Schizosaccharomyces pombe: one gene and its partner. The protein of the gene in region 1 interacts with the protein of each later gene in a biochemical or structural test. Each region holds a gene or a part of one and is shown on either strand. Other genes may lie near its edges.

Region 1 (5,260 bases):
TTGAATGCATTTACTGATTATACAATTGATGAGTACAACAATGGTTTTAAATCCGGTTCCAACAAAGTACACAGTACCAACAGCACTATGTGAAAAATGGTTTAAATAAGAAATGGCTATTCATTAACTAATCATGTACAAACAATGTAATCAAAAAGCTTTGCTAAAATTCGGCATAGAATTCTTTAAAATTGTTTACCGAGAATTTCCGTACGTAAAATGAAGTGAGTGACATGCAAAGTCATCAGCCAAAGCCAAATAATCAATTATGGGACAAGTACTATCAATATGTAGTTCCAAGTCAAAGGAAAAAAAAGTGGTGAATGAAAAACCAACTGTAAAACCAAAGCCTGCAGTGAACGTTCAAAAACCAGCAAAAGCCATTACGAAAGCTAGCTCACCTCCGCGTACGGGCAGAAAACTAGCGGAAACCGGTAATACATCAAATAAAGAGCATTTATCCCCCACAGAAGCAGCCCGAGTTGCAGCTGAGGTAATGAATCTGACAAAAATAAATGAAACCCAGATTTTACATTATTGAGAATCATTGAAGTAACTAACTATTTTTTTTAGAAGCGCAATATTGAGAAGAAAAAGGGAAATGGAAAACTCGGTAGGCAATTGGAAAAAGAGCGAGCAAAGCCAATGAAAGAGCATCTTCAAGACATTTCAACACAACGACAACAAGAAAGGGAACAAATCAAATGGGATTAGTTAAAACAGAGTTCGGTACACCTGTGGTGTTGGAAGATAAAGGCGAATTGTTAATAGAATTTGTATTCGCATTTTCAGTAGCATACTGAGACTTCCATACCAAGTCTTTCCAATCCTCCGAGTCAACCTCAATGCAAACAGGGGTAGAATAAGAATCTGCTGATTGCCTCTGGAGGGGAGTGTTTCTGTTTTGTGGAGAACCAAACGATAATCCGTGTTGAAAGGAGTATAATGAATGAGAAAATCGAGCAATCAACCTTGATCGTTCATTCTCTAATTGCCGTTGCAAGTCTTCTTGCCTTTGCCCTTGCTGTGTATCACGGGAATCCTCTGTTATGAGATCAGATGGTTCCTCGTCTCCGTCAACATTGGAAAGGCCCGACTGGGAAGCTTGAATATGAGATGCTTGAGTTGGGCGTTTGTTTGAAGCAATTAGAATAAGCGCCATGAATATTTGTAGACAGAAAAGTACAAGATCGGACGTTATAAAATCTATACGTGAAGATTCATTTTTTTCTCCAATGAAATTGATAATAGAGCCACCATACAAATATCCATCCAAGCTTTCTCCTGCAGTAGGCAAATTAAAGAACATACGCACCATTAAAGATATTAGAAAATTAAGCAGAAGCGGATAAAAAAGCGGTAGAGCGTTTAACTGAGAGAAAGGTTTGGGGGTAAGGTAGCTCTAGCAATTTATGTTAATACATGACTAGAAAAAAGCAAAATCATGAACATAGCATCTCTGGCTTTTGTATAATGAAAAATAAACTAAATACTGGAACAACTTACCAATTGAACAAAAACCTTGAGTAACAGCAAGAGAACTGTAGGGCTGACAAGAATTAGATTAGTGATTTCTACTATAGAATCCAGAAATTTTGCTTACTCTTGAAAATATTGTTGAGCTATAATTGCATAACACAGCATATCTAGCGATCGAAAAAAGCTGAACACTTCTCCCCGCTGATCTAAGACAATAGTGTCCATGCCTAATTTGTAGAAAAGTAACACAAAACAAGAATACTTTTGAGAGTATCAGAAATTACAGCTTTAAACAAAATCAATGAAAACTTTGTCAATTTCAAATATTTAGATATTAATTTGAGTCAAAAGTAAACGCAGAATGAATCATGCCAACAAGAACTTGCTGCGGTGGAGGAAAACGATAATGCCAGAACTGCTCAAGCTAGAGGCTATTTTGGATTAGGGCTTTGAAGCGCGTAAACTGCAAAACTATTAACGAAATCTTGAACTTCGATACCATTAATAACGCATCATTACATTTCGTTATGTGAGCAAACGCTTCTATCTATCTAACCTAGTAGGATTTGAAGAATTTAACCAGCTTATAATTTTAATTGTAAACATAGGGGGAATATTGTTTTACAATTACTGGTATAGTTCGTTGAACTAAGAGATGGAAAGAAATAATGGTTTGGGCGACTATACGTATCGCTATCATGGGAAGGAATTGAGTTTGGACGATTTTCAGAATAAACAAGGAATTGAATCCTCAGATGATGCATTTTTATCAAAAATTTATGAAAACGTTTCGAATTTTAATGGTAAGTAGTGTTGAGGAAGTTTTGCTTCTTTGGTTTTTTTGCGTATTTGATTTTATCGACTCTAACTGACATAATACTCAAGTTCCCAGAAAATTGCATGATATTGAACATAAATTTTCGAAAGAAGAGCCGAGTTTAATTCTTCATATTCATAAATTTCATTTTCGGTTTGAGCAACAAGATGGCGCCTTCACCTATAATGGGCCGGTAAAATCAATTTTGCAATATATAAGGATGGAGCTTATACCACCTGATTGTCTTGAAGTATTTCGGAATTCCGATGTAAAATTCTATGATGGTTGCTTAACGGTTCGTATAATAGATCATCGGCAAAGTCCTTCTGCTGATCAGACTGTGCAACCTCAGCCTGGCTCTACTAATCAACAGCAGCAAAATAACACCAACCCAATTAATAATCAACCTGAAGATACCAAACCCAATACTAATTCACCTCCAGTGTATCATACAGTTCTTCGTCCTACTCCCGAAACACTTTGGCAAGATTTATGTTTACTTTCAGAAAGCTTTGCTAACTCACTTTCGGATGAAGCTGTTTTGACTTTGGAATCCAACATTCTACTAGCGTCAGAAGCTCCACTTTTCTTAACTCCTGCGAAGTCTAAAGCGGAAATGATTCAATTTATGAACCAGTTGGCCGACTCTGCACCACCATGCACCAGAAAGAAACCTCAAGGATCAGCCCAACTTGCTGATGAAGAAGCAGAAAGACTTGAAAAAGAGAACCTTTTGTTACTAATGGATGACCAAAGAAAACGCGATTTTCAACCTACCTTTCAAAGACTACAATTTATTGAGAATGTGCGGCGTAAACGAGCTATTCTACAACAAAGGCAAATGCAAATGCAACAGCAACAAAAAGCGCAGCAGCAGCAATCACCGAAAGCTCAGCAACCACCCGCACATTTGGTTCAGTCTGCTCCAGTTCAAAGAAAAACTACACCCAAAATCCAACGTCTACCACCTAGTAGTATTCAAATTCCCCCTCCGAAACCTATGCAGAAATTCCCAGCTAATGCGGCATCTTCTGAATCGCCCCCCAATGCGACTGGTAAGTGTATTAAAGGCTTATTTCAGTACTTTTTGAGTTCAATTCAATTTTATTTTAATTTTGTATTTATTTTTCTAACAGCTTTAGGAAACTTTTTACCTTCGGGTCCTGTACCTGCAAATGAACCTATGTTAAAACGAGAATCCGTGGATTTGATAAAAATACGACAACTTGCAATTTTGTTTCAACAGCGTGCCTCTCAATTAAAAGCTAGAGGTGCTACACGGGAACAAATTACTGAAATTCTGAATCGTCAAGCAATAGCCGCTGGTACTGATTTGGCAACAGTAATGACGGTTGCACGAAATCTTCATTTTCAACAACTCCAAATGAGACAGCAGCAACAACAGCAGCAAATGAAGGCTGAAAGGTAACTCTCAAATGCTTCATCATTTAATACACGAATTTAGTTTTTTATTTATTATTTTTAAAATTTTATTTTTTTTGTTGCATAAATACGTTTTTTTACTTCACTTCATTTTCCTCTATAAAAACTTTTTTGCTCATGGAACAACTTGGCGTTTTCACTTACCAGTGTGAGATATGTAATGTAGCTGTTTCTAATAACACCCAGTTTTAGGTAAGTAAAATTAATATGTTATTTGGATATTTTTGTATGATGACTATAATTTGCGATTGAGCGATGGTATTGCTCGGGATCTTGCCTGATTCCCATATGGGCTCCATCAGTATGCGACAAATAATCTTCTGATTGATTTCCATTACATCAACTGCTTTTGTTAATACGAATACCTTGCTAACTGTTTTAAGTTTTAAATATTATAATAATGGAGTTAAAGAACGTCCTGTTTTTTATGAACGTTAGGTAAGGCAATTTAATTTTCAAAACAAATAACCGTTCTGCTTTGCAATTGATGAAATATTTGCTTATGATCAATAAATGATTCTTTTATTATCACCAAGATCGCTGAGTGCTAAAGTTTTTGGTTATTTTATTTGTTTTAAATATTTTCGAGTTATTACTAACCCATAGCGATATGAACTTTTTTAGATGTATATGTGTATAACCTTGTATATATGTATAACTTTTTTGCATATATATGTACATGCGTTTTCATCTGTAATTTATTCCCCTTCGCTTTTAGCTAATATTGATCTATGAGTATATATTTTTAATCTAAAAATTCCTGACTAATATCACCTTTACCTTGATTAGTTTAGACACACTTTGTAGAGTAAGTGCACGAAATTTTTATTATATCTATTTCAAAAAAAAGGTTGGCTGACAACGGTTTGATACACAGTATTAGTCCATGTCCGTCTCAATTTTTTCCATATCAACCAGCCGCTCACCCCGAGCGATACGGCCAGCTTCAACGCGATGATCAACGCCAATTTCGCATTCACGAAGTTTTGACTTAGCGCCTATTTGAGCACCTGAGGCGACTATGCAAGATTCTAAACGTACTCCGTCTTCAACAACAATGTTGTCCATCAAAATAGAGTTGCTGACCACTACCCCTTTTCCAATTACACAATTTTTACCGATAATGCTCTTTTTAATGTTGCTGTTATCCTTAATGGTGGTACCTTCATTCACCATACAATCGGCACCGACCAGTGCTCTTTCGGACACGGTGACATCTACAAGGCGTTGTTCTGGAGTAAGTTTGGCGATCTAGTTTGCTGTTAGAGATATTGGATGAAACTGCTAAAAAGCGAGATGAAGCTCAGCTTTCGAAAACATACGCATTTATTAAGTTCGAAATAGTTAGGTAAATTATTAGCCCTAGAACAAATAATCCCATCTTTGGCAATTAAAGCATTAATTTTAATTTCCTGTGAGGATAATCCCCCATCATAATTATCAATATTGTTAGGAGATGACAAAACTTTAATTGTTAGAAAATAGTTAATTAAAAAAAGCACTTACATCTTTGAATGTTCT
Region 2 (4,306 bases), 4.4 Mb from region 1:
GACTTAAAAAACATGTCTGATACAACTTCATTGAATGTGTAAGAATGACTAAGATATATAAATAACTAATTCAGTAGTCCAGAATTGGAGTCTCCCCCTATTGAGCGGGTGGAATTAGAATCTTTACTTGTAATGAATATCATCAAGCACTGCCGTGATTCTTTTCCTAATATGGGAACAATTGGTAAGTGTAGTCATTGGAGAATAAGTTTTCCCTATTTTTCGAAATGATAAAACTTGCAATTTTTCTGCATCAAAGATGCAGCTATGCATTTGTCAGCTCAGTAATGCTCTACTTAGTGAAATTTCTTATCAACCACAGTTTCTCTCTTGAAATAATATTTTTAACTAACTTTCGTTCAGGTCAGCTTGTTGGTATTGACATTGATGGTGTTTTACAAGTCAGTAGCAGCTTCGAGTCTCCGTCTGTTCTTGAAAATGAAGAGTCTGCTGTTAACAAGTCTGTTTCCGGTAAAGCACGCCAAGCTCATACTGAGGCGATGCTTAATCGTCTTCAGTACATTGGTGCTGTTACTGGTCACGTTGGTTGGTATTTGGGAGCCTATGTTAGTTCATTCTTAAGTAGCCCCTTTTTTGTAGAAACGCAATATGCTTATCAAAAGGCAAACCCCAACAGTATCGCTTTTCTTTATGATTTGTCTCAATCTTCTAATGGAACTTTGTACATGCGTGCTTATCAGTTAACTCCAGAGTTTATGGCTGCCCATGAGGAAAAAACTTGGACCGCCTCCTCCCTCAATAGCCACAACTTGACTCCTTCCAATGTTATCCGTGAACTTCCTATTGTTATTCACAACTCTCATTTGGCTACCTGTTTGCTCCACTCTCTTAGTGAGCCTCCTACTCCAGCTTCTACCCTAACCGCCGAAGCTGCTCTTGAAGATTGTGAAAGCAACTTACCCTTGACTGAAACGTTCAGTAACTTTGAGGTTAGTTTGGGTACCAGATATAGAAAGAATATTGAGTTATTATTGGAGTCTACTGATGAGTTTCATTATGAGCAAGGAAATCTTGGATTTCATCAACGTCAACTCGCAAGAGAGCAAGCTAAAATTCAACAGTGGATTGCTAAGCGTAAGGCCGAAAATGCAAATCGTGCTGCCGAAAATTTACAACCTTTACCTTTAGACGATTGGAAGCGAATCTTCAAGCTCCCTGCGGAGCCTCGACTTCTTGACTCTCTATTGATTAGCTCTCAAATTATGAAGTCTACTCAAATAGATGAACAAAGTTCTGCTTTCTTGTCTAAGCTTGCCGGTGTACGAAACGCTTATGCTTCTTAAGCTACTGATTGGTAATAATCGCTTAAATTTAGCGCTAATTATTTGTGAATCTGGTTGAAAATTTTTAAGGACTTTGATCTCTGTGAAGCGGTTGCATGTATTTGTTTATAAAAAATGGAGCATTCTTCTTCACTCTCACTAGTTATACCTCGTAGCATTAAAATAAAAGGATCTACTTAATTATAAAAGTTGTTTTGGTTTTCTTGATACAGCATATTGGTTTGTTGAAATACAATGTGCAAAAATATACCATGATTGTAATTATAAGAAACAGTTTAATCTTCAATAGTGCATTCAGTTGCTGGTAATCTACTTGTTTATCGTATTCGAGTTTTAGGTTACATTGCTAATTTAATATATTTTCGGGCCCTTATACAACATCGAAACACTTTTCTATTAATAAAATATATTGTTAAATTTTGTTTTCTCTCTGTTAGATTATTTAAAAAAAAAATCGTAAATATTGCCGAGACCTTTTTGTTTGTTTTGACTTGCTTCACGTTACAATGTTGACTTGGCCAAAACCAACAAATTCCAAATTCATTCAATTCGCAACTTGCAATGGAAGTTCCTTCTGCAGTTACCCTAAATAATTATGTGGGTATGAAAACAAAAGAATGTTGATAAAGAGTCAAAACTAATGTTTATAGGGTTCGATTCTATCACTTCGCAAATTAACCGCAAGTTAATTCGTCGTGGTTTTCAATTTAATGTAATGGTGGTTGGTACGTATTATTTTTATTACAGATTTTCAATTATAATGATGTTAACAGTTTCAAATAGGACCGTCAGGTAGCGGAAAAAGCACTTTGATTAATACTTTATTCTCTGCGCACTTGATGGACAGTAAGGGTCGTCTGGATTACCAAGCTCCTTATCGCCAGACAACTGAAATCCATGTTACAAGCCAAGGTATGTTGATTTTTTTATAGTTAGGTTTTCATCTTTGATTGAACTCATTGAGCTGGCTTCAATGAGTCAGCAATCCTTATATTTATTATGGTTACATTGCTAACCACATAGTCGTTCGCGAGAACCGTGTTCAATTACAATTAAATTTAATCGACACTCCTGGATATGGAGATCAAATTAATAACGATAAATGGTAAGTTTGATCAGTGGAAATGGAAATTTCTATTCCTGCACAGCAATTTCTAACTATAATAGCTGGGAGCCTATAATTAAGTACATTAGGGACCAACACTCTTCCTATCTTCGTCGTGAATTAAATTCACATCGCGAGAAACGTCTACAAGACACAAGAGTACATTGTTGTTTATTCTTTATTCGCCCAACTGGACATTCTTTGCGCCCTATTGATATTGCTGTCCTCAAACGCTTAACAGAAGTCGTAAATGTTGTGCCTGTTATCGCTAAGTCTGATTCATTGACTCTTGAAGAAAGAGCAGCATTTAAGCAGCAAATCCGTGAAGAATTTGTTAAACACGACATCAATTTGTATCCTTATGATTCTGATGACGCCGATGAGGAGGAAATTAATCTAAATGCTGCCGTCCGAAATCTTATTCCTTTTGCCGTGGTCGGTTCCGAAAAAGCCATTATCGTAGATGGAAGGCCTATTCGTGGTCGTCAAAACAGATGGGGGGTTGTCAATGTGGATGATGAAAACCACTGCGAGTTTGTTTTTCTTCGTAACTTTTTGATGCGAACTCATCTTCAAGATTTAATTGAAACGACCTCATACTATCATTACGAGAAATTCCGCTTTAAGCAATTGAGCAGCTTAAAAGAACAGTCTTCCCTCGCAACTAGAATGGGAAGTCCCGCACCTGTGTACCCTTCTGAACCACATCTCCATACAGCCACCGCTCAATAGTCTTCTTCCTAAGGTAATATATAGTATGTTTAGAACAAAGACTAAACCATTTGTATGACTGTCGTACCGTAATTCGTAAATTTCGGCTCTTTTTACACTATGCGAATCTTACAAATGAAGTGTTTATCTTATTAACGAGAGATTATATGTTTGATGCGTGATTTTGTCTAGCTATTATACAGTTCTATATCAATATTTATTGAAAAGCATCAAAATGATTTTAAAATTAAAGTACTGGTCGATTTAAGACATTGCAATCCATAAAATGTTCTAGCATCAATCTTCCGAAATGAGATTCGATTTGTGCCCGAAGTTTAAATTCTTTAGAGTTTGATGCAAAAACATTTTGTAGAGATAATACGCATAAATAGGAAGTGCGTAATACTGCAATATCTGTGCATTCTTCTTGCATTAATTGCTGTAAGCCAGAAAGAACGTCATTATTGTTTTTGGTAACGGCATGTCCTACACAATCTATAACTTTAGTAAGAGGACTTCTTGATGCTGAATACAAGTGCACATGATATTCATCTCGCCAAGCAACCATTCGTTCTCGATGCAAATCATCAGACAAGGTTGGTTGAGAGAGAATGTCCAATCCAATAGTAAACAAAGAATCCGAAACAGGTGCATGACTTCGAGAAACAGAAACTTCCGATAAAGGCTTTCCATTAAACCCCCAGATACACCCACGAGGAAGAATTGCAAAAACTAGTTCACGAACGACCATAGCAATCAATAAGCTGACATAATTTGATTTGGTAGACGAAGACCAACTTAACTTTCTAATAAAATTATTACAAAAATTGAGATCATAGGCTGGGAGATTGAGCTGAGTGAGAGTCAAAAATGCAGAAACCAACAGGTATTCAAAAGAATTGGGACCAGGCATTGGACAGCGAAGAGCTCTGGTCAAATGACTGTAAGCACCAAAAACGTCGAGCTTCTTAATAGACGCAAAAGCCATTAAAGAATTAGCAATACAAGGCATCGATTGAGCAAACTGGGGAACAGTGACTGACCAAAAATGCAAGGCTATGTTATTATCAAATTCAAATGCACAAATAGAAGGTACGACATCGTGAAAATAAAACGGAAACAGTTCGGAATTAAAGTTTGAAGGGAAATTGGAAACTGATGAAAGAAAAGGGTAAGAGGCCTGACC

The links.
Region 2: the proteins of spt20 (region 1) and spn2 form a complex in vitro, tested with the Schizosaccharomyces pombe proteins (one study listed by BioGRID).

Annotation. Positions count from the first base shown.
Region 1 is NC_003424.3:5,368,645-5,373,904, reverse strand, and holds spt20 (SAGA complex subunit Spt20), read left to right. Parts: upstream 1-2,060; 5' UTR 2,061-2,134; coding exon 2,135-2,282; exon of another isoform or gene 2,283-2,364; coding exon 2,365-3,351; exon of another isoform or gene 3,352-3,438; coding exon 3,439-3,725; 3' UTR 3,726-3,931; intron 3,932-4,122; 3' UTR 4,123-4,177; intron 4,178-4,218; exon of another isoform or gene 4,219-4,265; intron 4,266-4,345; 3' UTR 4,346-4,505; downstream 4,506-5,260. Other genes in the region: protein new13, read left to right, coding at 269-493, 574-714; DSC E3 ubiquitin ligase complex subunit Dsc4, read right to left, coding at 701-1,402, 1,507-1,549, 1,604-1,704; translation initiation factor eIF2B gamma subunit tif223, read right to left, coding at 4,619-4,990, 5,062-5,204, 5,246-5,260.
Region 2 is NC_003424.3:988,385-992,690, forward strand, and holds spn2 (mitotic and meiotic (sporulation) septin Spn2), read left to right. Parts: upstream 1-1,820; 5' UTR 1,821-1,865; coding exon 1,866-1,905; exon of another isoform or gene 1,906-1,954; coding exon 1,955-2,029; exon of another isoform or gene 2,030-2,087; coding exon 2,088-2,216; exon of another isoform or gene 2,217-2,327; coding exon 2,328-2,409; exon of another isoform or gene 2,410-2,471; coding exon 2,472-3,141; 3' UTR 3,142-3,367; downstream 3,368-4,306. Other genes in the region: tif308 (translation initiation factor eIF3h (p40)), read left to right, coding at 13-38, 78-184, 364-1,304; DNA-binding transcription factor Moc3, read right to left, coding at 3,368-4,306. UniProt on the Schizosaccharomyces pombe protein: Plays a role in the cell cycle. Involved in a late stage of septum formation leading to the separation of the daughter cells. Involved in the correct orientation of forespore membrane extension during sporulation. Binds phosphatidylinositol 4-phosphate.